Linked DNA regions of Macaca fascicularis. Each later gene encodes a partner of the first gene's protein in a complex. Links are inferred from orthologs where the notes say so. Each region holds a gene or a part of one and is shown in the gene's direction. Other genes may lie near its edges.

Region 1 (5,126 bases):
AGCAGGGAAACTTGATTGTTAAAAAAAATTATATTTGGCCGGGTGCGGTGGCTCATTCCTGTAATGTCAGCACTTTTGGAGGCCAAGGTGGTTGGATCACCTGAGGTCAGGAGTTTGAGACCAGCCTGGCCAATATGGCAAAACCCCATCTCTACTAAAAATACAACAATTAGCCGGGTGTGGTGGTGGATGTCTGTAATCCCAGCTACTCAGGATGCTGAGGCAGGGAGAATCGCTTGAGCCTGGGAGGTGGAGGTTGCAGTGAGCCGAGATCATGCCATTACACTCCAGCCTGGAGGACAGAGCGAGACTCTGTCTCAAAAAAAAAAAAAAAAAAAAAAAAAAAATTGTTCCTTTTGTAGACAAATGAATTCAACCATTTCACTAAGTTTTCTAGAAGACAGTTCCAGCTGCTGCCTCTGGAGACAGCAGCTGGAAGACAGCTGGAGTAGGTTTTCCTCAGCTCTTGGGTAAAATTTCTAATGAGAAGTTACCAACAAGTAGGATTCTCCAAATGAACTTACCTAGTCTTATAAGGCAGAATTAATGAAAATGCTCAATAGCAAAAGTGCTCACTGATGTTGCTTTTATTTTTGTAACTTTTTCCTTCATTCCTTTTGGGGAAAACAGTGGAATTTGAACTCCGAAGGGAAATCAAGAGGCTCCAAGAATACAGGACAGCAGGCATTACCAATTTTTGTAGTAAGTATGCTTCAGCTACATACCGTACCTGAGGGCAAGTGTCTTCCAAACACACAGAGGAAGTCTCTGAGTTGTGAATTTTTTTTAAAACATAAGCTATTCTTTACCAGAATGCTTTAAATCTTTCCAGTAAAGTTTTGGCTACTTAATCCCTATAAATACCTTTACATAGATTATCTTTGGTAAAATAAAAGTTATGAGACAAAGGAAAGAGAGGTGCTGCTTTAGATTTAGGATTCTGCCAAGGCTCTTTATAAAAAGAGAATCTTGGGCCAGGTGCAGTGACTCTCTCACGCCTGTAATCCCAGCACTTTGGGAGGCCAAGGCAGGTGGGTCACTTGAGTCCAGGAGTTCGAAACCAGCCTGACCAACATGGTGAAAGCCCATCTCTACTAAAAATACAAAAATTAGGCATTGTGGTGCACACTTTAATCCCAACTACTCAGAAGGCTGAGGCACAAGAATCACTTGAACCTGAGAAGCAGAGGTTGTAGTGAGCTGAGATTGTGCCACTGTACTCCAGCCTGGGCGGCAGAGGGAGATTCTGTTTCAAAAAAAAAAAAAAAAAGGACTGTCACCCTTTTCAAATTTAATGATACATGGCCTTAGCATTTTTATAAAATAATGAAGCTTCAACTGGCTCTAGGTGCTTGTATCCCAGTTACTTGGTGTAGTGACAATAATTATATTATTAGCAGCTAACATCTATCAGATGTTTACCATGTACCAGTCTCTATGCTAACCATTTCACTTGGATCAAGTCACTGAATTCTCATGACAAACTTACAAAGTACCATTACTTCCATTTAATGAAGAAATTAAGGTATAAAGAGGTTACAGAGCTAGTTAGTACTAGAACCAGATCGTAAGAGATAGTGTATTATAGTAGTTAAGAGCTTGGGTCTAGACTTAAAAAGCTTGAGTATAAATTTTGGCTCTCCAGTTTACCAGCTCTGCGATGTGATTCTATCTACATTTCTTTTCTTTCCTTTTTTTCTTTTTTTTTTCCCCCTAGAGACTGGCCTTGCTATGTTGCCCAGGCTGATCTCAAACTCCTGGCCTCAAGCAGTCCTCCCGCCTTGGCCTCTCAGAGTGCTGGGATTACAGGTGTGAGCAACTGTGCCTGGCCTCTATTCAAGTTTTAATTTTCTAAGGTTCTTAGTGTAAAGATTTAATTAGAGATACTGCATATAAGCATAGCACGGTATCTGGCACACAATAAATCCTTAATAAATGGCAGTTTCTATTGTTTTGCTGTCATTGTTGGAATGATCTTTAGCACTCCCTCCTTCTTCCTATTTGAAGTCTTTGTGATTATTGACAGCTATCACCTACTACCTATAAGAAATAGTTGGCTTCTTTTTTTTTTTTTTTTGAGATGGAGTCTGGCTCTGTTGCGCAGGCTGGAGTTCAGTGGTGCCATCTTGGTTCACCATGACCTCCGCCTCCTAGGTTCAAGCAATTCTCTTGCCTCAGCCTCCTGAGTAGCTGGGACTACAGTCACACGCCACTATACCCAGCTAATTTTTTTTTTTTTTATATTTTTAGTAGAGACAGGGTTTCTCCATGTTGGTCAGGCTGATCTCGAACTCCTGACCTCAGGTGATCCGCCCGCCTCAGCCTCCCAAAGTGCTGGGATTACAGGTTTGAGCCACCGCGCCCGGCAATAGTTGACTTCTTAACACAGCCCTTTGGGTGCAACATAACCTTATGGATGTAAGTTCAGCCTAATATAATGGTTCTTTAACAGTGGAAACCATTTTTAAAATTAAATTTTGTGTGGAGCCCCAATCTACAAATAAGATAAAAGTGGAATTACTTTGGTTGAACTTTAATGGTTCAAGTTATGTGTAGAGCCCAGGACCGCTGGTATCTGGCAGTGCCCTTTCTCTTTACATTAACCTCTAAGATACTCCTATGGTATCCTGGGGCTCTGTGGAACCTAGTTTGAATTTTGAAACCCACTGGTGCAGTATTTTGGAATCTGTGAACCTTTTTTAACATGTAGAAAACACCACACAACTCTTCTGTTAGCAAGATGCATATAGAGACTCTGATAATTAATTTTGGTTTCCTGATATTGGCTGCCTCTGAGAAATATAGAGAAGAGGTACTACATGTCAAAGAGAACTCTTTTTTTGTAATTCTAATTGTTTTTAAAGGAAAGGCATATGCTTATAGCACATGTGTGACTTTGAAAAAATTTATAAAAATAGAAAAAACAGGAAGCAACTACGACTACAGTAAAAGTTGGTTACTTTTTGAGGGTGGAAGTATGAGCAATTCTTATTTTCTTTGTACTTTTCTATTGTTTTTTTTCTCCCAAATTTCTTACAGATAGAAAAGGAATACAAATATTTAATACTTAGTGTTAAGAAAAGGATTTCAAACTAGGGAAAATCTACTTGGGTCTTGGAGAAATAATTGTGAAAGCAGTTTTGCAAAGGAAATAGACTTTAACAACAAAACCCAAAACCAGTTTCTTGGTCAGTTAGAAAGCCCTTCAGTTCTGCTGCATTGTCATTGTGGTCACTGTGTTTTCTATACCCTCAGGTGCCAGAACCTACGATCACCTCAAGAAGACACGGGAGGAGGAGCGCCTTAAACGCACTATGCTCTCAGAAGTTCTCCAGTATATCCAAGACAGTAGCGCTTGCCAGCAGTGGCTCCGCCGGCAAGCTGACATGTGAGTAATTACTCCAGGGTGAAGGAGGCATTCTTTCTGGGATGCCTTGGCCTTAGCATGTATTTTTGGGCACCCTAGATGGCAGAGTAATAATAATTGAGTAGCTAGAAGAATTCAGAAATATTTTAGCAGTCCATCTCACAGAACCAGTGCCATACTGATAGTTTTGAGAAACAACTGACCTCCTAGAATCAAACTTTACTACTTTGATCTTATTTTTAAAAATGAGTGAATTTTCCCCTAGCCTTCTACCCATGACTTCAACTCTCTCTTCATACCTGGATTTTCACTGGAGAATCATGTTTGTATCCCTTCCCCTTGAGTGGTGTTAGTGGTGTTCTAGACTACAAGCTTTTCTTAACAAATCTGAGGAATTTTTCTTCCTTAGAACAGATTTGCTTTCCTGCTCAATACAGTGAGATATCTATAAAACATAGTTCAGTCTGTCTCGTTACACTTCTTCAAGGTGACCTACCTGATAAACGGCACCCAGTCTCACAGGGGCTTTTGGAAATCACCTTGTTTGATATGACCTAAGTTTAAATTCCTCTTCTTTGTTGTAGTGATTCCGGCCTGAGTCCTTCCATTCCAATGGCTTCGAATTCAGGTAATTATTTCTCAGGCCAGAACAAGTCTTAATTGTGAAGTTTGCATCGTAGGGGTTATGGTGACCCAGCAATCTTCCTTCCTCTGTGGTGTCAGGGTGCTTAGGCAGAATAATAGTAAACATCAGTATGTTTTCAGAATCTTCATGGCCAGACAGAGACTATCCTCAGAGTGAGAGTATAGAGAGCATAGAGACGGGAAAAAAGAACTTCAGAGAGGTAACTTATTTTACCAATGTTCATGAGCAATTAGTTTACTGCAGTTGTGTCTACCACGAATTTTGAGACTTATTTCACAGGAGATAAATTAAAAGCTTTCTATTTTATTATTTTTTATTTATTTACTTATTTTTGGAGATGGAGTCTTGGTCTGTCCCCCAGGCTGGAGTGCAGTGGTGTGATCTCAGCTCACTGCAACCTCTGCCTCCTGGGTTCAAGTGATTCTCCTGCCTCAGCCTCCCGAGTAGCTGGGATTACAGGCGTGTGGCACCATGCCTGGCTAATTTTTGTATTTTTGGTAAAGACACTTTCGCCATGTTGGCCAGGCTGGTCTGGAACTGACCTCAAGTGATCCACCCACCACGGCTTCCCAAAGTGCTGGAATTACAGGTGTGAGCTACTGTGCCCAGCCTAAGCTTTTTATTTTTATATAACATGAGCAAAGAAGCATGTTACTTGCTAGAAACATAAGGATTTCTAAGTTGGAGACCTAAAGTATTTTTATTTCTTACTTTTACCTCTTTGAGTATGTCCTAGTTTGAGATTAGTATACCGAGCAAGATTAGGCCATATGCTATCTGATGATCCTTGGTGATAGGTAATCGATGACTGGCAATTTGGGGAGGTATGTCTCAGCAGATTCAGGATCTGGGTCTCAGATTTGTCCACTTTAGGGACTTTTTTTTTTTTTTTTGGAGAGATGGAGTCTTGCTCTGTCACCCAGGCTGGAGTGCAGTGATATGATCTTGGCTCAGTGCAACCTCCGCCTTCCAGGTTCAAGCGATTCTCCTGCCTCAGCCTCCTGAGTAGCTGGGATTACAAGCACCTGCCACTATGCCCAGATGATTTTTGTACTTTTAGTAGAGATGGGGTTTCGACAGGTTGGCCAGGCTGGTCTCAAACTCCTGACCTCA
Region 2 (5,126 bases), on another chromosome or scaffold:
TCTTTCAGTTCCTTTGAACAAACCAGCAACACTTCTTCATCCTGGTTGCATCAGTTTTCCTGTAGCAGAGACTGAATCCTGTTTGCATTTTCTCTAATACACAACCCGCCTGAACCCGCGCTCCATCCCCCCACTCTGGCGGTGTGGATCGCAACCCCTGGGGCCCTCGTCCAAGCACGGATATATTAGTACTAGCTTATCTATGCCCATTCTTCCGAGGTCTGAGTTTCAGTTCCATGAAGTGGTTTCGTTAAGCGTCTAAATTTTAAAAATTCCAGCATTTTCCTCTATTCCCCCAGTTTTAGGGTTGGTGGCTGCTTCCTGTAGCTACTTTCATGACATCTTAATGTTCTCTTCCTGCCTTTTCAGCTGCCTAAAAACAACTTTATACTTGTTTAACAGTTCTTTATATTAAATTTTTTCCATTCCAGTAACTCGTGTGACTTCTTTCTCTTGATTATACACTGACTGATACCAGGAGGAGAAAATAGTATTTCAGTTTGACTTGAAGGAAGGGTAAAATTTCAGTAAGTGGCAGGAAATTTCACATAGGATGAATGTCAGCATGAGTAAAAATAGCAAAGATGAGGAAGTATGGTGTAAATTTGGGAAACATTTTGTATTCTAGGCTTTTTTGAAGCACAAAGTGCATGTTACAAGAAAAGACTATAGAGAAGTTGGGGTAGACACTAATTTGGAGGACCTTGAACTCTAGGCTAGGAAATTTGGATTTGATTGATAACAATTTTTTTTTTTTAAATGAAATAATGACCTGATTAGAATTTATATCTAGAAACGTTTGGATAATAAAGTCATGACAGATTATTCAGAAGAGTGAGGATTGTATATGGTAAAATCTTAAATGTTACTGGTTATGCTGGCCATCACTGTTTTCCTGTAGCATGTTCATTCAGAAAATACTGAAGGCCTTTGTGTTAGGAATGCAACAAAGAATATGGTAACAATCTCTGTTCTCAAGTGTGGTGGAAAAAAAAGATATAAACTTAGATAATTCTAGAACAAAGTGGATGGATATGGGAATGCATAGGGAATTATGGTATATGAAATAGAGCATAAAATATGGCCTGGAAAGGTCAAGAAAAACTAACTGATTTGCATTTCAAATGATGACTAGGAATTACCTATGCATAAAGGGGAGGGTATGAGCTGGACTTAAAGAACAATTCCCCGAACAGACAGAAAAGGAGAAAAGGATTGTTTTGGCAGAGTCTAATGGGAAATTATAAGACCTTTTTAAGAACAGGTTCGTTTTTTCCCTTCTTGGTGTGGTTTTTCTACAAACAGATAAAATTAAATTGTGAAGGAGCCTTAGCTGTTTCTTATGTAATTCATATGTATGCATCTTGGTTTCTAAAATCCTGTGGTTGTTTTTAATAGAGGATATATCAGATGAATGGATTTTAAGTAGTATCTTTTTACTAGTGTGTATACGGAAAGGATATGTATATTTGTATGTGTACGTGTGTATATGCAAATGTGTGTGCTTACAGAGAGGGAATGAGGGACACAGAGATAGGCATATCGTAGGTTAGGGAATTGTAATAGAAACTCAGAAAGAAATATTGGGGTAGCTACTGCATACATGTATAGTACTTCCTTCATATGAGGTAGAGGTACTATACTAGAGAACTTTTAAACCATATAAATTTTAGATTGAAAAATGTTTATATCAAAATTTAATTTGAGGGTACGGAAGAGTCAAGTGAAATGAAAGGAAAAGTACAGGGAAAGAGCTAGAGGGAATATTGTGGGTTTTGTCAACTTTTTCAACTTCTTCAGTTGAACCAAAGGTCATAAATTACGTGAAATAAAAGAGGGCCATTTATAAGAGACCTAAGTTTGAGAAATTTCTTAGACCTGTGTAATTAGAAAAAAGCAATCTCTAATTATATTTACCTATAGAGTTTATGTTCTCCAGGTGTGTGACAATTACATAGTAGTTGGACAATATCCAGATGTATGATGATAACTGTCTGAAATTGGCCTAATCTACATTTAACGAAAGTGTATATATTATGGGTTTTTAAAAAATTGTTATCATTTTTTTAATGTTTTGGTTGTTTAGGCTAGACAGCAACAAGCAGAATTGGCCCAACAGGAATGGCTTCAAATGCAGCAAGCTGCCCAACAAGCCCAGCTTGCTGCTGCCTCAGCCAGTGCATCTAATCAGGCGGGATCTTCTCAGGATGAAGAAGATGATGATGATATCTGAAATTCACCAGCTGAGTTTCTATTTCTTCTATAAATGTTTTTCCCTGCACAACAAAAACGGTGAAAGAAATGCTTATCTGTAATTTTGTATGCATCTTGGTGGACTTGTCATTGGTATTCTAGGGATGTCTGCTATTAAGTTTCATCTATTGTGTGCTATACATGTAAAAACTGTCTCTTTGAACTATTGAAAATTTAAGGTTCAGTATAATATCAATTTTGAATTTTTAATGGTGTTTATGAAATTTTAGATAGCAGCAAGTCCTTCATTTGATCAATAAACAGTGTTACAGAAAACTTCAAGTTTATAAAAATACAGTGAAATTTCTACAAAGCTCTAAATCTGCATTTGCATTTCCTCTGCCCTTTTAACTAAACTAAAACTTGTGAATTTTAAATTATTAAGGGGGGGTGCTGTGTGAATCAGTAGACATTGGATTGGGTTGGTGAAAGAGTTCAGTTCTGTAGTATCTGAATTTGTCTTTTAAAATGAGAACATATATAGGCAATAAATATATATGCTCAGATCAATATACTTGTTTAGAAAAACTTCAAGACATTAAAAAACTAGGAAGGAGTATGTTTAATAGTAGTTGTATAAATTTGGTGGTTATGTTTTTTTATTTTGTTTTTGTTTTGTGTAGAGGTAAAAACTATAGTTTTATTACAACATAATTCATTTTGAGCTCCACTATGACATTTCAAAGACTGCCCAGTTTGGAAGTCTGTCATGATTTATACTCTTTCGCTCTAATTCAGTAATTGTTGATAGTATTACTTACCTAGTCCATCCATACTCATATTATTCAAATATATAGGTGGGACTTTTGAAACAATTGCATTGATTCCCTTGGTTTAACTGAGGTTCATGAATATTCAAACCTTTGCTGGGGGAAAGAAATGAAAGTTAATGAGCATGCTTGCTATGAGAGAGGGATTTTTAATTTAACTTGTAGTTATAGTTTACTTATTGTTTTTAGAATTACTTTTACATTTTCCCGACTAGATGGCCTAGAGTCCAACATTACCTTTTGAGATGACATTATTGTCTCCATCATAATTGAGTGATAGCTTTAAAAAAAAGATTAGTTTTGCTTAAGAAGTTGTGTTACAACTGATCAGCCCTATATGAATTAACTGATCAGCCCTATATGAAACGTAAGTTGTGTTATAACTGATCAGCCCTATATGGAACATAAATAGTTTCTACCTGCTTATTAAAAGAGAGAAGCTTTAATTTGGTTCTAAAAAATAAAGTATGGTAGTGATTATAGGAATCCAGGATGTTGAAGAAATGGGATAGTGTCTATATTTTGGAAACAGAAAGGAAAAGTCACTTAAGATAGTATTAAGTAATTAAATTCCTATGTCAGTTGCCAAATCTTTTAAACTTATGTATTCACCAAGCCCAAAAATAGATTGTGGCTCCCAGGATTTCAATTTTAATTGGAGAGCTAGGTGAGTAAAGTTTTATAACTATTAGGTTTCTTAATGATCATATTTTGCAGTTTTAGTAAAAGGGAAATATTGTTATACATTTATTAAATATACTTCCCCCATGAAGTGAAAAGGTTAATTTTGCTGAATGTTTTAAGTTGAAGTTACTTCATGGATGTCATACCCATGAAGTGCATTTGGATGAGATAGAAGAAATTGTTTTTTAAAAAGTTTAAGTACCAAAGGTAGTCTAGTCTAGAACAATAATAAGTTAATATGTGTTGGCTTTTCTAATTTGTACTGTAACATCCTTATACTTTCTATTTTAAGTATATCTGTTTCTTAAGTAAACAACTTAGATATTTTCCACACCTTTTTTTTTTTTGATGCAGAGTTCAGGTTAATTAATATTTTACTGCATCTGATAATGTATTATACGTTTGAAGCCTAGTGACTTTTCATTTTGACATTCTTGTGATTTCATATGCTGTATTCTTCAAGCAATAAAATTGTGATGTGTTTTATAAATGGTTTTTATATTTAATGATCTATAGAGAGATTTCTATTATTACAATTTTTACTAGTTTCAAGAATCTTAGGCCCAGAAGACATTTTGGTCATTTGGTATGTAGTACCTGCCTTTTGTTTTTGTTTACTGTTATTTCAAAAAATGTGGTTTTACTTGTGTTTTTGTAATTTATAGTCGTAAGATCGAGGCATAACAAAGGTACTTATGCAATATTTTATTTTTAGATTTTTTTTTTTTTTTTTTTTTTTTTTAGCATTTGAGAGTCACTGTTATGTTTTGCCAGTTAAAATTTTTTAAATCTCTTGAAGAGAGAAACTAAATATTTAGCGTTCTCGAGAAATAAAGTTATTGTTCAGTAAGTATTTTTCCATCCCCTTGAATATATGTTATATATCTTTTTCGGCAGATTATCAGATTAATAAGTGTTTAAAAGGCATTGGTTTTTAAAACTGCATATACCACACACACACAGAACAGTACACAAATAAAGATTTTCACAAATTAAGCAAACTCATATACCAGTCTTCAGATCAAAATACAGAGCATTATGTATACCCCAGAAACCCTCCTCTTGCCCTGTCTTAACACTATCTTCTTTCTTGCTGAAAGTTACTATCCTGAATTCTAAAATCATGGATTAGTTTTGCCTGTTTTTTATTTTATGTAAATGCAATCATACGTAATACACATTTTTTCGTTCATCATTTTATAGTCCTGGAGATCAGAAGTCCAAAAGTCAGTTTCATTAGGCCTAAATCAAAGTATCAGCAGGGTTGGCTCTTTCTTGAGGTTGTGAGGGAGAATGTTTTCTTCCCTTTTTTGGCTTCCAGTGATGACCTGTATTTATGGGCTTGTGACCCCTTCTTCTCTATGATCAAAGCTTGCTTTTGTCATTATATCATCTTCTGTAGTCAGATCTTTCCCTGCC
Region 3 (4,595 bases), on another chromosome or scaffold:
TTAAACATTATGTAAACTATAAAATAGGAAGTCCATGGTAGCACAAGCTTCAGATTTAATTGATTCAGTGACTAAATCATAATTGTAAGAAAATAGGTTTCTTTCCCCTCTTAACTCTGCTTGGTGTTACCTTCTTTCCCAGGCAGATGGCAAGATGGCTACAGCACTTTCAGGTGTCTTACCCAGATACAGCAGTATCCTGAGAAACTGCCTTCTTTGAGGGCTTTCTCTCAAAAGATGTGAGGAAGCTTTTTCCAGAAGTTCTCCTCTTAATCTCCAGCAGTCTTCTCCTTTACTCATTGGCCAGAACTGGACCCATGCCCATTTCAGTCACTGATAAGACCAGGAAGCCATTGGCTTGGGCCACACAGAGAAGCAGTGGATAGGTAGCTCCTTGCATAAACAACCACAGTGTCCATTATAGTCAGTCCAGGGTGTGTGTGTGTGTGTTTTCACCTCTTGGCCTCATATACCAGATTATATTTTTCCTTTGTCTATTGTCACTTCGCTTGTTCAACACCCTGGGATGGAAAGGTTATAAAAAAAAACTAAGCAGAAAATCCCCAGAGCACCTCTTTCCACAATCACCCAGGCTCATTAGAAGCTGGTAATTGATGGGAAAATATGTATTGCCAAAGATAAGCATGTTGCTGCAGTATTATTATTATATATTGTTAATGTCATCCTCTTTAGAGGGTAACTTGCAGAATATAAGGTGGATGTTGGTTACAGACAATAATTGGTATTGGTAAATTGGTTGGCTTTCTTTCTGTCAGAGTTCCCAAGGCTGTACGTAATTTGTACGGTATTTCATAAAGAAAAAAATAATGCTTAGATTTTTTTAAACGTTGATTACTTTTTTTTAAAATCTAGAGCTTTTCTGGAAAAAGAAGAAAAGTTCAACCACCTCAAGTAAGTTACTGCATTTTCATTTTGGTTTCTGAAATAGTTTGATTAGTTTTATACCTTTCTTATTAATAAAAGTTTCTACTATGGTTGCTTTTAGGTCATACCCTGGTACAATTTACGACTGAAGAAAAGGGCAGTATAAACTAATATACTTGAATAGAAAAATTCTTTTAAGGGCATGGAATGACTCAGATAGGTTAAATAAATAAAACCTTTGTCCTGCTTTTAGTAGTACAAGGATGTGTCATTCATCAAGTGCTTAAAAATAGTAAGTGCTCAAGTAATTTCAGTCTCCCCCCATCCCTTCCTTTTGTGAACACTTCTGATTAGTAGCATCTACATCAAAAAGGGTGTTTGGCAGAGTTTGACTTCAGCTGGCCCTGTCTAAAGTGCTACTTTACTAATTAGTTGAACCTTAAATAATAAGGCTTTGCTAGACTTTAATAGTGGTAATGTGAATTTAAAGTTGGAGAAGACTTTCTAATTTTTAAGAGTAGCATTTTTTTTCTTAAAAAATTCCGAGTAAATTTTTTGATAGCAATTATTTTTTCCAGAAGTAAATTATTGTAGTTGATCCCTCAAGAGAGAATTTCTAGGTATTTTAAGCAGTTATTTTTAAAGTTAACTTTTTTTACTATTGATTATGAGAATAATCAGGTTTTTAAAAGTTACTCTTATGTAGTAAACTGTAACACTTTGTTGCTGCTTTAAAAATACAATTCACATAACATAAAATTCATAATTTTAAAGTGGCTATTAGTATGTTCACTATGTTGTACAACCATCACCACTAAGTCTAGAACATTTCCATCACCGCCCCAACCCTGTACCTATTAGCACTCAGTCCCAATTTCCCTTTCTCTTTACCCCCTAATAGTCACCACATAATACTTGTGTCTAAATTAGAAATATTAATGCAAGTGAGGGTGTTCACATAGATAGACTTGAACAAATCCAATTTTTATTGGAAAGCAAAAGGAGTGTTTTCTTCACTGTTTTCCACTTCAGGTTAACTTTAGTAATCAACATAGAAAGTTTTCTATTAAAAGGGATAGCTGATATCTCAAATGATTTTTTTCTCCTGGTAGTAGTATAATTAGCATTTTTCTTCTTCTTTCCAACTTTTACTTAAGCTCAAGGGGTTTTCAGGTTTGTTACATGGGTAAATTGCATGTCACGGAGGTTTGGTGTACAGATAATTTTGTCACCCAGGTAATCAGCATAATACCCGATAGGCAATATTTCAGTCCTCTCCCTCCTCCCATCTTCAAATAGGCTCCAGTGTCTAATAATCAGGCTTTTTTTTTTTTTTTGTAAACTTATTCTTTCAAAGTATAAAAGGTTCAGGAGAGCTTAATCATTAGAAAAGAGAAATATTTAAGCCTTGTTATTTTATGCTTTTAAATTTATGATATAGTCAACATATATAGTTGTGCAGGTTTAAGATTATTCTCATGAGGGAAAAAAACCCATTTGATCATGCTTTTAAATATTTTAAATATTTATAGTTCATTTGGCACTTTATCTGCATTAAGATACTTCAGAATCTTATTCAGCAATTTGTGTCGTTATTGTTTACAGCAGAACTATTCACTGGCTGAACTTGATGAGAAAATTAGTGCCCTCAAACAAGCCCTCCTCAGAAAATCAAGAGAAGCAGAATCCATGGCAACCCACCACCTTCCATGAAAAACTCCTCTCCATCCTTGTCATTTTACTTTTTTGTATACATATGTGTAACTTACACTGTTATTAATTCAACGGATATATATTTATCAATGTAGACTTCTCTGTGAAGTCAAGGTTTATTTTCACGAGTCCAGCTTGCAGCAAGTAATCTTCAGATATTCCAGTAAGTTTTTAAATAATGAATGTGTTGAAAATAGCATTGTTGGAATTTATTCCCTTCTGTTTTAAAGGAGGTATTTTGGAAATTGAAAAACTTAATTTAAAAGTGCTGGTACATCTTTTTTCTTTTGTGGACCACAGAAAGGAAAATTTATTTTGATATTGATACTTTAAAAGGACTTTATATTTGTAACATTGGTGTTAACCAGTTTATTAGTTTAAATCAGTACTTTGCATATAATAGGCATTCAACAAAAATTTATTGACTGAAATGAATTTTAAATGGATGTATGAACTTGTTTTTCTTAATTTCTAAGATGTCAGTATTCATGTAAATAAACAATAGATCCAGCTTTATCCCTTTATTGACTGTGTGACTTTGAACAACTTACTTAATCTGTCTTTGTCCTCATTTCCCAGTCTGTGAAATGGGAATGACAGTAATAGAAACTACCTTACTGTTATGAAGAAGAGGTGAGATCATGTATGTTTGAAACTGTCTGTCTCAAGGGAATTGCTCAGTAAATGTTAGCTAATATTATAAAACCAGGTCTGGTTTTGGACAGCAATTAGGATGTTACAAAGAAATTATAGTACCTCTCTTTTGAGAGCCTCACCTTTACAATACCCCAGTTATTAGGCAGTACATACATTATTGTGTCCAGAATTGGTGGGTTCTTGGTCTCACTGACTTCCAGAATGAAGCCGCAGACCCTTGTGGTGAGTGTTACAGTTCTTAAAGATGGTGTGTCCGGAGTTTGTTCCTTCAGACGTTCAGCTGTGTCTGGAGCTTCTTCCTTCTGGTGGGCTCATGGTCTCACTGTCAGGAGTGAAGCTGCAGACCTTCGTGGTGAGTGTTACAGCTCTTAAAGGCAGCGCATCTGGAGTTGTTCATTCTTCCCAGTGGGTTCGTGGTCTCAGCTTCAGGAGTGAAGCTGCAGACCTTCGTGGTGTTACAGTTCATAAAGGCAGCATGGACCCAAAGAGAAAGCAGCAGCAAGATTTATTGCAGAGTGAAAGAATAAAGCTTCCACAGTATGGAAGGGGACCAGAGCGGGTTGCCACTGCTGGCTCGGGCAGGCTGCTTTTATTCCCTTATCTGACCCCACCCACATCCTGCTGATTGGTCCACTTTACAGAGAGCTGATTGGTGTATTTACAATCCTTGGGCTAGACAGAGTGCTAGACAGAAAAGTTCTCCAAGTCCCCACTAGGTTCAGCTAGATACAGAGTTAGCTATAAACAGAGTACCAATTGGTGTAGTTACAAACCTTGAGCTAGACACAGAGTACTGACTGGTGTATTTACAAACCCTGAGCTAGACAGAGTGCCGACTGGTGCATTTACAATCCTTGAGCTAGACACAGAGTGCTAGACAGAAAAGTTCTCCAAGTCCTCACCCTGCTGAGGAGCCCAGCTGGCTTCACCTAGTGGATCCTGCACTTGGGCTGCAGGCAGAGCTGCCCGCCAGTCCCCAGCCGCACCTCCCTCCTCAGCCCTTGGGCGGTGGATGGGACCGGGCACCACGGAGCAGGGGGCGGAGCCCATAGGGGAGGCTCAGGCCACACAGGACCCCACTGCAGTTGGGGGGCTCAGACATGGCGGGCTGCAGGTCCAGAGCCCTACCCGGCGGGGAGGCAGCTAAACTCGGTGAGAATTTGAGTGCAGCCCCCGCAGGCTGGCACTGCTGGGGGACCAGGCGCAACCTCCACAGCTGCTGGCCCCAGTGCTAAGCCCCTCACTGCCCTGGGCCAGCAGTGCCAGCCGGCCGCTCGGCGTCCCTATGGGGCTCCCGAGCCCTTGCCTGCGCCTGCCGGAACTCACACTGGCCTGCGAGT
Region 4 (5,126 bases), on another chromosome or scaffold:
GCACTTTGGGAGGCCAAGGCAGGAAAATCACTTGAACCTGGGAGGCAGAGGTTGCAGTAAGCCAAGATCGTGTCAGCCTGGGCGACACAGCGAGACTCCATCTCAAAAAGTAAATAAATAAACAATTATTGTCATGCCGATGTTTTATTGTGAAATCCACAGCATCCGTTGCCTCCTGCTTCTCGCTCTTTTGTTTACTGGAAGGTAACTTCCTCCATGACAAAATATGGGTGGCACAGAGGATAAGGGACTTTCCCGAAGCACCTGACCTTCAGCGTGGCCTTGTCTTCCAATTTGTTCTAGGACTGTTAAAGATTCACTCCAGCCAAGCCAGTCCCCAGCAGGCAGTCCTGACGATTCCCAGCCAGCTCAAACCACTCAGCGTAAACACGTCTGGAGGGGTGCAGACGATCCTGATGCCTGTGAATAAAGGTGAGTGCCTTGCCCACGGGCCTCTGTGCTGTGGCCGCTTCCACGTATCTCAGCATTTACCAGGTGGTGACTGCTCTGCCCATGTACAGCCACCCTTCAGCTATCACGGTACTCCCTGCACCTTGAATGCTAGGGCTCCAACGCCAGGACTCAAAACCCAAATGTTCGTTGGCTTCTAAATAGCTGCCCTTATCTAAAGTTGAGTTGAAGGGGGAATATTTTAAGTGTTTATAAGAATTTACATTAATTGGATTGTTGTTTTCCTTTCCTTTTTTTTTTTGAAACAGAGTTTTGCTCTGTCGCCAAGGGTGGAGTGCAGTGGCAAGATCTCGGCTCACTGCAACCTCCGCCTCCTGGGTTCAAGCAGTTCTCATGCCTCAGTCTCCTGAGTAGCTGGCTAATTTTTGTATTTTTTTAGTAAAGACGGGGTTTCACCATGTTGCCCAGTCTGGTCTTGAACTCCTGACCTCAGAAGATCCACCTGCCTTGGCCCCCCAAAGTACTGGGATTACAGGCGTGAGCCACTGTGCCTGGCCTGGCTTGTTACTTTCTTAGTTTAGTGACAGGCTCCTGTTTCTACAGTTGAAGATATACCTCAGTTACCCTCATACCTAATAATCACCCACTAGTAAAAAGGGACTTTGCAATTCCTGTTGTCCTCAAGTTGTCTGTGTGCTGTTCGTCTCATGTGGGGTTATCACCTGGGAGTTAGATCACCTTCATTAAAAATAATCTCTGTATTTGTTATATCCCTCCCTCCTTTTCTCCCTTTAGTGGTTCAGTCATTTTCTACCAGCAAGCCACCTGCCATTCTGCCTGTAGCTGCCCCAACTCCACTTGTCCCCAGCTCTGCTCCAGCAGCTGTTGCAAAAGGTACATAGGATCTCACAGAGTTCTTGTCCAGAAGTTTTGTTGTTTATCTTTTTTGTTGTCGTTCACGTTCTCTTCTGATGTCCAGAAGTTTTATGCAGGACATTACCATAATCTGAATCTTTTGAATTTTCAGCATTTGCAAATCAACCACTTGGCAAATGTGTCCTAAATACTCATATGGTAGACTTAACATTGAGGGAAACACAGAGATGTATAAAGGATCATTTCTACCCTTTAATAAATTTATAATAAGGTTGAAAAGAATTGCTGTAGACAGCAAGCAATCATTGATAAACACAAGACATGTGGCCAGGGAAATGATTGCTGAAATATTGCAGTTTGGGATGTCTGATCAGGGTTGGCAGGGGGTGTGGAGAAGGGCAAGACTTTGTATTGACCATGGATTATAACCTGGACTTTAAAAGAGTAGAGGTTTTTTAGCTGTGGGGAGTCAAGGGGTATGCCAGATTAAGGGCACAAGAGAGACAAAGACTCAGCTTCCCCTTTGGAGAAGTGGCAAGTTAGAGGGACTCATTTGGGGAGTATAGTTGTGGTAAAGGAGGTTTAGGTAGGGGCCAGACTTTGGCGAGCTGGCAGTGGGAGACATTTCCGCCCACAAGAGTAGATCAGGATAGCACGGTGGATTAGAGCAACACGCTGACATTGATAACATCAGTGTCCAAGCACAGGCGATCTGATTTTTGCTTTCTGCCTTGTGTCTCAGAACGCTAAGATAATGCTGCAAGTTGATAAACTAGCTGGAGAGATGATATTGGAAAGGTCACAATATTAGAACTTAGAACAAACCAGCATTGTACTTCAATGTAGCATTGTTAAATCACATGTGTGGGGAGGGGGTGAGGGATCTTACACAGCAGTATGGGTGGCCCTTTAAGAAATATCTGAGGAGCCATTTTATTGCCCCCGCCCTGTCATGAGGCTGGAGTTGTCCCCCCTGAGACCCAGGCTAACAGTTCTTCCCTTGTCTGATGACCCTGGGATGATAGGAGCCATCTCAGTCCCCTGGCTGTGTCCCCGCAACAGCTGGAGTGGCAGTTTCCTTGCTGAGCTTCACTGCAGGAGCTTTGTTTGTGCCTGCACATGTCCTTCCACTGCTAACCCCTAACAGCTGCCTCTTTGTTGCTCTTGCCTTGTAGTGAAGACTGAACCAGAAACACCTGGGCCGAGCTGCCTCTCTCAGGAGGGTCAGACAGCAGTGAAAACAGAAGAAAGTTCTGAGCTGGGAAACTATGTCATTAAGTAATTCTTCCAGTCTTTCCTAAAGGAATTCCGCTTTGGGTGTTTGTCACACCTGTGACAGCTGAGTATGTGCAGAGTTGTGTGTGTAGCTCTAAGCCCTTGATGGGAGGAACTGTCTGTGCCTGTGTAGTGGACAAGTGATGCACAGCTGAGGGTCATCATTTTATACAGTGGTGTGACTGGAGGTGGCACTTGATTTGTAGCCTTAGAAGCCTCAGATGGGATTAGACCTCCCTTCAGTTGAGGTTGCCAGCGTGGGCTTTCTCTGCTGAGCCCCTGGGCGCAAAATTTCTCCTGTAGCCATCACTCAGGTGTATACGTGCTTTGTGACTGGGTGTCCACACGCCTGCCTAATCTTAGCTGCCTCTTCATGGGCTATACACACTCTTTGCTTCTTCTAAAATGCTTTCTGAGGTTTCGTAATTTCTAAATCAGGAAGCCACTTCTGACCAGCTACTTTTAAGTATCTCAAACCGCTGGGGACAATAGAAACTTAGCCCTTTAATATGGTAGATGGAGGCGTGAACTGTAATAACCCTAAGATGGGCATACAGAATTTTTCTCCCCTAGTAGCAGTCACATTGCAAAAAGATTATATTGCTATTTAATTTTAAGGTGTAGATTAACTGTCTGTAATACGCGCATAATCTTCCATTCCTGGGATCTTATTTAGTCTTGACATTTTCTTTTTAAGCATAGAACACCTTTCCTTTACAAAGAAGGTAATCTATGGAAGGAAAGACATGTTAATATGATGTTTTTACATTATAATTCCCTCAGAATGGAATATATCCATTAAGTATATGGCATACATATGGCTATAGAAACTGCTACATGTATTTAATTTATTGCCTTATTTTTTTTTTATCCTTCTCAGGATAGACCATTTAGAGACTATCCAGCAACTCTTAACAGCAGTAGTAAAGAAGATTCCATTAATCACTGCAAAAAGTAAGACAATTACACTGAATATAGGGGTGCATTTTTTAAAGCCGTGAATTTAAGGTATTGAGTCAACTGAAATCACTTGGGTTTGTAAATTAATATTGATAATGGCAGTTACCTTATAAGGTTTCAGCTAGAGATACAGCTCATTTGCAAGGGTTTTAGAATTCATATGCAGTTAGTTTTTTATTCTTTTTACTGTGTTGTTCTTTAGAAGGAATGTTTTACATTTTTCATATGTAAATCATAAATTGTTTTGTATGCAGTTAAAACTCTGTATTAGCATTTGGCGTTTATGAGTGAGGAAAGCATTTAGTGTTTGCCTGCAGTGTACCAGGTCCTGTGCAGGCTGGGTACGTTCACTGTCTCATATAATCCCAGCCTCCTGTGTGGTAGCTGGTGTCATCTGCATTTACAGATGAGGAAACTGAGGATAAACAGGGTTGAATAACTTGCTTGAGATCACAGAGCCATGGGTGGTGAAACAGGATACAAACCTGGTTCTGTTTGACTCTAAGACCGTTCATCTTTCCTCTGAAACTCAGTATTGCACACTGTAGAAATGCACAGTTTTTAAGACCTCCCAAAGTGGTGTGCTGTGTCACTCCCATCGTTAGCTAGATTGAGTAAATTGCTGCTTAGCCCCAGTTGTTTTGATAGAATCAATAACCCTTGCTGAGGGGCCAGCAGCCTGCGGACACAGGAGCATGCTCATGGGCAAGACCACTATGCACACTCAGAGGGAAGCCAGGGGCAGCCTCCACGCCACTCAGATTTGTAGGGCTCTGAACACGTACGCCAGGTACAGACCACCTACTTATTTTTTCCAACTGTAATAGCAAAGCGGTAGTCTCTCTTTCTAAGGTAAAGTTTGGGGGATCATTTTGATGTATCTCATAATAAACTTTTGATGACAGTTTCCCAGCCTGACAGAAGAAATTCAAACAAAAAAATCTCTCTCATATATACGTGTTTGTGTGTGTGTGTGTGTATGTGTATATGTGTATATACATACGTGTATATACATACGTGTATACATACGTGTATATACATACGTGTATATATATACACATATACACACACACACACATATATACACACACACATACACACACACACACACACAGAGACACAGTTTTCTCTCTCCTTAAAAATACAGAATACAAGAGCCGGAAGGTAGTTCAGATACTATCTTCCCAGCTTTCTCAATTTATAGATAAGAAAACCAAGCTGGTTGCAGTGGCTCACGCCTGTAATCCCAGCACTTTGAGAGGTTGAGGTGGGCAGATCACCTGAGGTCAGGACTTTGAGACCTGCCTGGTCAACATGGTGAAACCCCATCTCTACTAAAAATACAAAAATTAGCCAGGCATGGTGGTGCATGCCTGTAGTCCCAGCTACTCGGGAGGCTGAGGCATGAGAATCGCTTGAAACCGGGAGGCAGAGGTTGCAGTGAGCTGAGATTTGTGGGCAACAAAGTGAGACACCATCTACCATGGCCACCTTGTGAGTTAATGGCAGGTCCAGGGCTCCTAGTGGAGCGCCAGTCCCACAGACTTCAATAGCCTGTGGCAGTGATTACCTTCTCCACCAAAGAAGCCAAGTTCCCAAGAAGG
Region 5 (5,126 bases), on another chromosome or scaffold:
GCCCCGGCAGCAAACTTTTGCCTGGGCATCCAGGTGTATCCATCCATCTTCTGAAATCTAGGTGGAGGTTCCCAAACCTCAATTCTTGACTTCTGTGCGCCCTCGGGCTCAACATGAAGTGGAAGCTGCCAAGGTTTGAGGCTTGCACCCTCTGAAACCATGGGCTGAGCTGTTTCTTGGCCCCTTTTAGCAATGACTGGAGCGGCTGGGGTGCAGGGCAGCAAGTCCCCAGGCTGCCTTCTAGGCTTCCAGGTCTATGATGGGAGGGGCTGCCATGAATACCTATGGCATGCCCTGGAGATTGTCTTGGGGATTAACATTGGGCTCCTTGTTACTTATGGAAATTTCTGCAGCCAGCTTGAATTTCTCCTCAAAAAATGAGTTTTTCTTTTCTATTGCATTGTCAGGCTGCACATTTTCTGAACTTTCATGTCTTGTTTCCCTTTTAAAATGGATGCTTTTAACAGCACCCAAATCACTTTTTTTTTTTTTTTGAGACAGAGTCTTGCTCTGTTGTCCAGGCTGGAGTACAGTGGTGCGATCTCGGCTCACTGCAACCTCTGCCTCCCAGGTTCAAGTGATTCTCCTGCCTCAGCCTCCCAAGTAGCTGGGATTACAGGTGTGTGCCACTATGCCCGGCTAATTTTTGTATTTTTAGTAGAGACAGGGTTTCACTATGTTGGCCAAGCTGGTCTTGAACTCCTGACCCCAGGTGATCCGCCCACCTCAGTCTCCCATAGTGCTAGGATTACAGGCATGAGCCACCATGCTTGTCCTTCAAGTCACCTCTTGAATGCTCTGCTGCTTAGAAATTTCTTCCACCAGATACCCTAAATCATCTCTCTCAAATTCAGAGTTCCACAGATCTCTAGGGCAGGGACAAAATGCCGCCAGTCTCTTTGCTAAAACATAATAAGAGTCACCTTTGTTCCAATTCCCAACAAGTTCCTTATCTCTATCTGAGACCACCTCAGCCTGGACCTTATTGTTCATATCACTGTCAGCATTTTTGTCAAAGCCATTCAACAAATCTCTAGGAAGTTCCAAACTTTCCCACATTTTCCTGTCTTCTTATGAGCCCTCCAAACTGTTTCAGCCTCTGCCTTATACCCAGTTCCAAAGTCATTTCCACATTTTCAGATATTTTTTTGGCAACACCCCACTCCTGGTACCAATTTATTATATTAGTCCGTTTTCATGCTGCTGATAAAGACATACCCAAGACTGGAAAGAAAAAGAAGTTTAATTGGACTTACAGTTCCACATGGCTGGGTAGGCCTCAGCATCATGGCAGGAGGCAAAAGACACTTCTTAGAGTGCAGTGGCAAGAAACAAATGAGGAAGATGCAAAAGCAGAAACCCCTGATAAACCCTCAGATCTCGTGAGGCTTATTCACTATCACGAGAACAGTATGGTGGAAACTGCCCCCATGATTCAAATTATCTCCCACCAGGCCCCTCCCACAACACAAAGAAATTAAGGGAGTACAATTCAAGATGAGATTTGTCTGGGAACACAGAGCCAAACCATATCAGAAATGTATTTCAAAAATTCTATATACAGTAGTAGTTGGCCCCAGTGGCTCTTTGGATAACAGAGTGATCATATAATATGACCCGTGTGTGTTACCTACTTGATAGTAGTGCTGGTTAATATTTAGTGAATGGGTTGAAGGCATAATATAGACAAAGTGAAGCCTAGAGAAGCTGGAAATCCAGTGTTCAATCCTGTATCTCTCTCACTGTAATGAGTTAAAAATTTTTTTTAATGATTTCGTAATTTTAAAATTACTATTTTGATTTTAAACAGCTGGGGTTAGTTTTTTATGTCTAGTTTTATGCAAAGGTGTCTACAAACTTTGTATTGAAGTTTGAACTTTCCAAATAAGTAATACAAAAAGACCTACTTTTTGACACATAAAAATACGATACTAATTATATGGAAATTAACCAATCCTCAGAGTAATTTTGTTTCTTTTTTTTTTCTTTTTTTTTTTGAGACGGAGTCTCTCTCTGTCGCCCATGCTGGAGTGCAGTGGCGAGATCTCGGCTCACTGCAAGCTCCACCTCCTGGGTTCATGCCATTCTCTTGCCTCAGCCTCCCAAGTAGCTGGGACTGCAGGCACACCTGCCACCACGGCCAGCTAATTTTTGTATTTTTAGTAGAGACGAGGTTTTACCGTGTTAGCCAGGATGGTCTCGATCTTCTGACCTTGTGATCTGCCCGCCTTGGCCTCCCAAAGTGCTGGGATTGCAGGCGTGAGCCACTACGCCCGGCCTGAGTAATTTTATTTCTGTATAACCAGTGTTTCTTTCTCATAGACTTCCTTGCCATCCAGGAAGGGATTTCGACACCAGACCACCAAGTTTTTGTATCGCTTGGTCGGATCAGAAGATATGGCTGTGGACCAGAGTATTGTCAGCCCTTATACCTCTCGGATCTTGAAACCTTATATCAGGTAAATGGAGAACTAGAGATGTGATGTCAGGTGTGTCATAAGAGATAATGATTGTGGTTTCTGTGCCCTATTCTCCTGTTGGAGAGAATAAAGATCACAAACTGTGAGCAGCATTGGCAAGGACTGAGTTCTGTGCTTCACCTCCAGTTTTGTCCTTTGCTTGTCTCAACTCTACTTTTTTACAGAGAACATGGTCCTTTGAAAGAAACTTAAAAAGGAAGAATAAATTAACTGAAAGATTGCTTTGTGATTATCATAATCATTATTTTATTATTATTATTATTTTTTGAGACAGACTCTCGCCCTGTCACCCAGGCTGGGGTGCAGTGGTGCAATCTTGGCTCACTGTAACCTCCACCTCCGGGGTTCAGGGAATTCTCTTGCCTCAGCCTTCTGAGTAGCTGGGATTATAGGCATGCACCACAAAGCCCAGGTAATTTTTGTATTTTTAGCAGAGACAGGGTTTCACCATGTTGGCCAAGCTGGTCTTGAACTCCTGACCTCAAGTGATCTGCCCGTCTTGGCCTCCCAAAGTGCTGGGATCACAGGCGTGAGCCACTGGGCCCAGCCCTCATTATGTTATTTTAAATACTAAAGTTGTATATTTTTAGTAGTCTGAAGTGAAAAAATGTGAAAGACGTCTCAGTTGAGCCTCCATCTAGACTGGATGTATATGAAACAGTTTCCAATAATGAATCTCATTGTCCAGGCAATGAAATGGAAGCTGAGCTTGCTAGAGAGGTCCCAGCAGTGTCTGGCACTGTAAATGAGAGCACATTATTGCACTCATTGCACTCCAACTGCCCTGAAGCTCCATGATCACCCTCACCCTCCATGCCAGCACCACATTCCTGGGCAGGCGCAGTGAGAAGCTGTTTATGAGCCTGCTCCAAGCTCACTTTGTCTCTGGTGTTCCCCAAATGCCCCACAAAGTTGAATGTTCCCTCTTCTGGCCTCCAAGGCACTGGAGATGCATCCTCATGTCTGACTCCTCGGGGTGAATCTGATGCTGTTTCTGTTTCCTCACTTTGTTCATGAAGGCACCTGGCACAGTCCCTGGTGGGTACAGAGGGCTTTAGCCTGATGAATGTTCAGAGTGAATTTTAGGTTTCATACATAAAAGTATAGCTGTAATCAAGCCAGCTTCGTGTAAAACAGTGCAGGTTACTTTAAAGTTTCAAGCAGATCAAAGAGTTTACATGAGTCAAAAAGCTAGGAATAATACCAGGTATTTTTCTTGACTTGAATTTGTTTATCTTCTGTGGTACCGGAGGCGTGATTATGAAACAAAGCCACCCAAACTGCAGCTCCTGTCACAGATTCGTTCCCACCTGCACAGGAGTGACCCTCACTGGACGCCGGAGCCCGACGCGCCTCTCGATTACTGTTACGTGCGGCCAAATCACATCCCAACGATCAACTCCATGTGTCAGGAGTTTTTTTGGCCTGGTATGTTCCCCCTCCCAAACCAGGCGGGTCATTTTTCTGTACAGTCCATTCTAGCAATTTTTAAAATTAGTTTATGTGATAGCCTTAAGATTTTTATTTATGATTTCATTTAGTTTGTCTCTGCTAATATAGAAATACTAAAATACAAATACCTCTTATTTTCCTAAAATCTAGAAGAAGCCAGCAATAAACAGTGTTTTTGTTTGTTTCTCTTCCCTGTTTGTCTCTGCTTCCAGAGTAAAAGATTCATCCTGTTTTGCTTCTGCATATATTTAGATACCAGGTAATGTCTATCAAAGATACACAGACTGGTAGCTTGGGCGTGTTTGGACACTTTTGTTTTTGGCTTAATAATTCTTTATGTTTATTTAGCTGTTCCTTAGAGAGTGTTAGTACAGCCAGAAGGTGTTTTTTAAAAGCCAAATACCCTGATCACAGACTTTGAGAATAAGGGTAGGCCCAGTATAATTTGTCATTTTATCAGCCTTAACAAAATTGCCTCTGAAGACCAAAGTCATTAATTAAAGGAACACATTTTCATTGCTAAATATAAACTGTTCTTTGTGGATCTGCTTTCCCATGCTGCCTTGAAACCTAAAGGAAATAATACGTACCTTTCAGGTGTTAGATACGATTTCATCAAGATTAGAGCTGTGTCGTCTTTATTGTCACATAATCACATAACCGTGCATGTGGTGGCAGAGCTGCACTCACTCTTTTGGGAGTCATATTGAGCCAAAAGTAACATTCTGGGATCATCTTCTGCTTCCTGCCCTTATGTTAGGTGCCTTCCATACATTATGCATAGAACCATATTTTACTTATTTTTTTGTGAAAGGTATCGTTTGTACAAAAGAGCTTATAAATTATATGTGTGTGGCGTAAAGGATGTGATAGAACACGCTCGGGGGGATCTTTATTCAACCCTGTCAGGTCTAGGTGTGCTCTTCATGTTACGCATTGCAGGAACGGAGTCTCTGAGACATTTTGAAATGTGCCAAGCCACACATGGTAGAGGAGGCTGTGAGTTCAAAGCCAGCTGTGTCCAATTCTGAACCTGTGCACTGCTACCTACCCTATTCTGCCACTCTTCTTTTAATATATGTACTTAGAAAATACTATGTTAATTTCAATGTTTTCTAAAATTCATTCTTATTTTTATGATCTGGACGTGTGGTATCTATGTTACCTCCAGTTTTGGTGTTTTTTTTTTTTTTT

Evidence for each region. The genes of interacting proteins can lie anywhere in the genome.
Region 2: TADA2A (region 1) and DR1 share a complex: the UniProt entries of both Homo sapiens proteins name them as parts of the ADA2A-containing complex. The link is inferred for Macaca fascicularis from reciprocal best matches to the Homo sapiens genes TADA2A and DR1.
Region 3: TADA2A (region 1) and MBIP share a complex: the UniProt entries of both Homo sapiens proteins name them as parts of the ADA2A-containing complex. The link is inferred for Macaca fascicularis from reciprocal best matches to the Homo sapiens genes TADA2A and MBIP.
Region 4: TADA2A (region 1) and YEATS2 share a complex: the UniProt entries of both Homo sapiens proteins name them as parts of the ADA2A-containing complex. The link is inferred for Macaca fascicularis from reciprocal best matches to the Homo sapiens genes TADA2A and YEATS2.
Region 5: TADA2A (region 1) and KAT14 share a complex: the UniProt entries of both Homo sapiens proteins name them as parts of the ADA2A-containing complex. The link is inferred for Macaca fascicularis from reciprocal best matches to the Homo sapiens genes TADA2A and KAT14.

What each region holds. Positions count from the first base shown.
Region 1 is NC_088390.1:43,518,967-43,524,092, reverse strand, and holds part of TADA2A (transcriptional adapter 2-alpha), read left to right. Parts: intron 1-569; exon of another isoform or gene 570-630; coding exon 631-702; exon of another isoform or gene 703-1,246; intron 1,247-3,255; coding exon 3,256-3,388; intron 3,389-3,863; exon of another isoform or gene 3,864-3,951; coding exon 3,952-3,995; exon of another isoform or gene 3,996-4,154; intron 4,155-5,126. UniProt on the Homo sapiens protein: Component of the ATAC complex, a complex with histone acetyltransferase activity on histones H3 and H4. Required for the function of some acidic activation domains, which activate transcription from a distant site. Binds double-stranded DNA.
Region 2 is NC_088375.1:141,039,354-141,044,479, reverse strand, and holds the end of DR1 (protein Dr1), read left to right. Parts: intron 1-2,086; coding exon 2,087-2,233; 3' UTR 2,234-4,197; downstream 4,198-5,126. UniProt on the Homo sapiens protein: The association of the DR1/DRAP1 heterodimer with TBP results in a functional repression of both activated and basal transcription of class II genes.
Region 3 is NC_088381.1:104,132,867-104,137,461, reverse strand, and holds the end of MBIP (MAP3K12-binding inhibitory protein 1), read left to right. Parts: intron 1-873; coding exon 874-912; intron 913-1,006; exon of another isoform or gene 1,007-1,177; intron 1,178-2,490; coding exon 2,491-2,598; 3' UTR 2,599-3,114; downstream 3,115-4,595. UniProt on the Homo sapiens protein: Inhibits the MAP3K12 activity to induce the activation of the JNK/SAPK pathway. Component of the ATAC complex, a complex with histone acetyltransferase activity on histones H3 and H4.
Region 4 is NC_088376.1:95,715,435-95,720,560, forward strand, and holds part of YEATS2 (YEATS domain-containing protein 2), read left to right. Parts: intron 1-303; coding exon 304-432; intron 433-1,206; coding exon 1,207-1,305; intron 1,306-2,462; coding exon 2,463-2,565; intron 2,566-3,442; coding exon 3,443-3,516; intron 3,517-5,126. UniProt on the Homo sapiens protein: Chromatin reader component of the ATAC complex, a complex with histone acetyltransferase activity on histones H3 and H4. YEATS2 specifically recognizes and binds histone H3 crotonylated at 'Lys-27' (H3K27cr).
Region 5 is NC_088384.1:69,102,456-69,107,581, reverse strand, and holds part of KAT14 (cysteine-rich protein 2-binding protein), read left to right. Parts: intron 1-2,322; coding exon 2,323-2,459; intron 2,460-3,732; coding exon 3,733-3,908; intron 3,909-4,144; exon of another isoform or gene 4,145-4,191; intron 4,192-5,126. UniProt on the Homo sapiens protein: Component of the ATAC complex, a complex with histone acetyltransferase activity on histones H3 and H4. May function as a scaffold for the ATAC complex to promote ATAC complex stability. Has also weak histone acetyltransferase activity toward histone H4.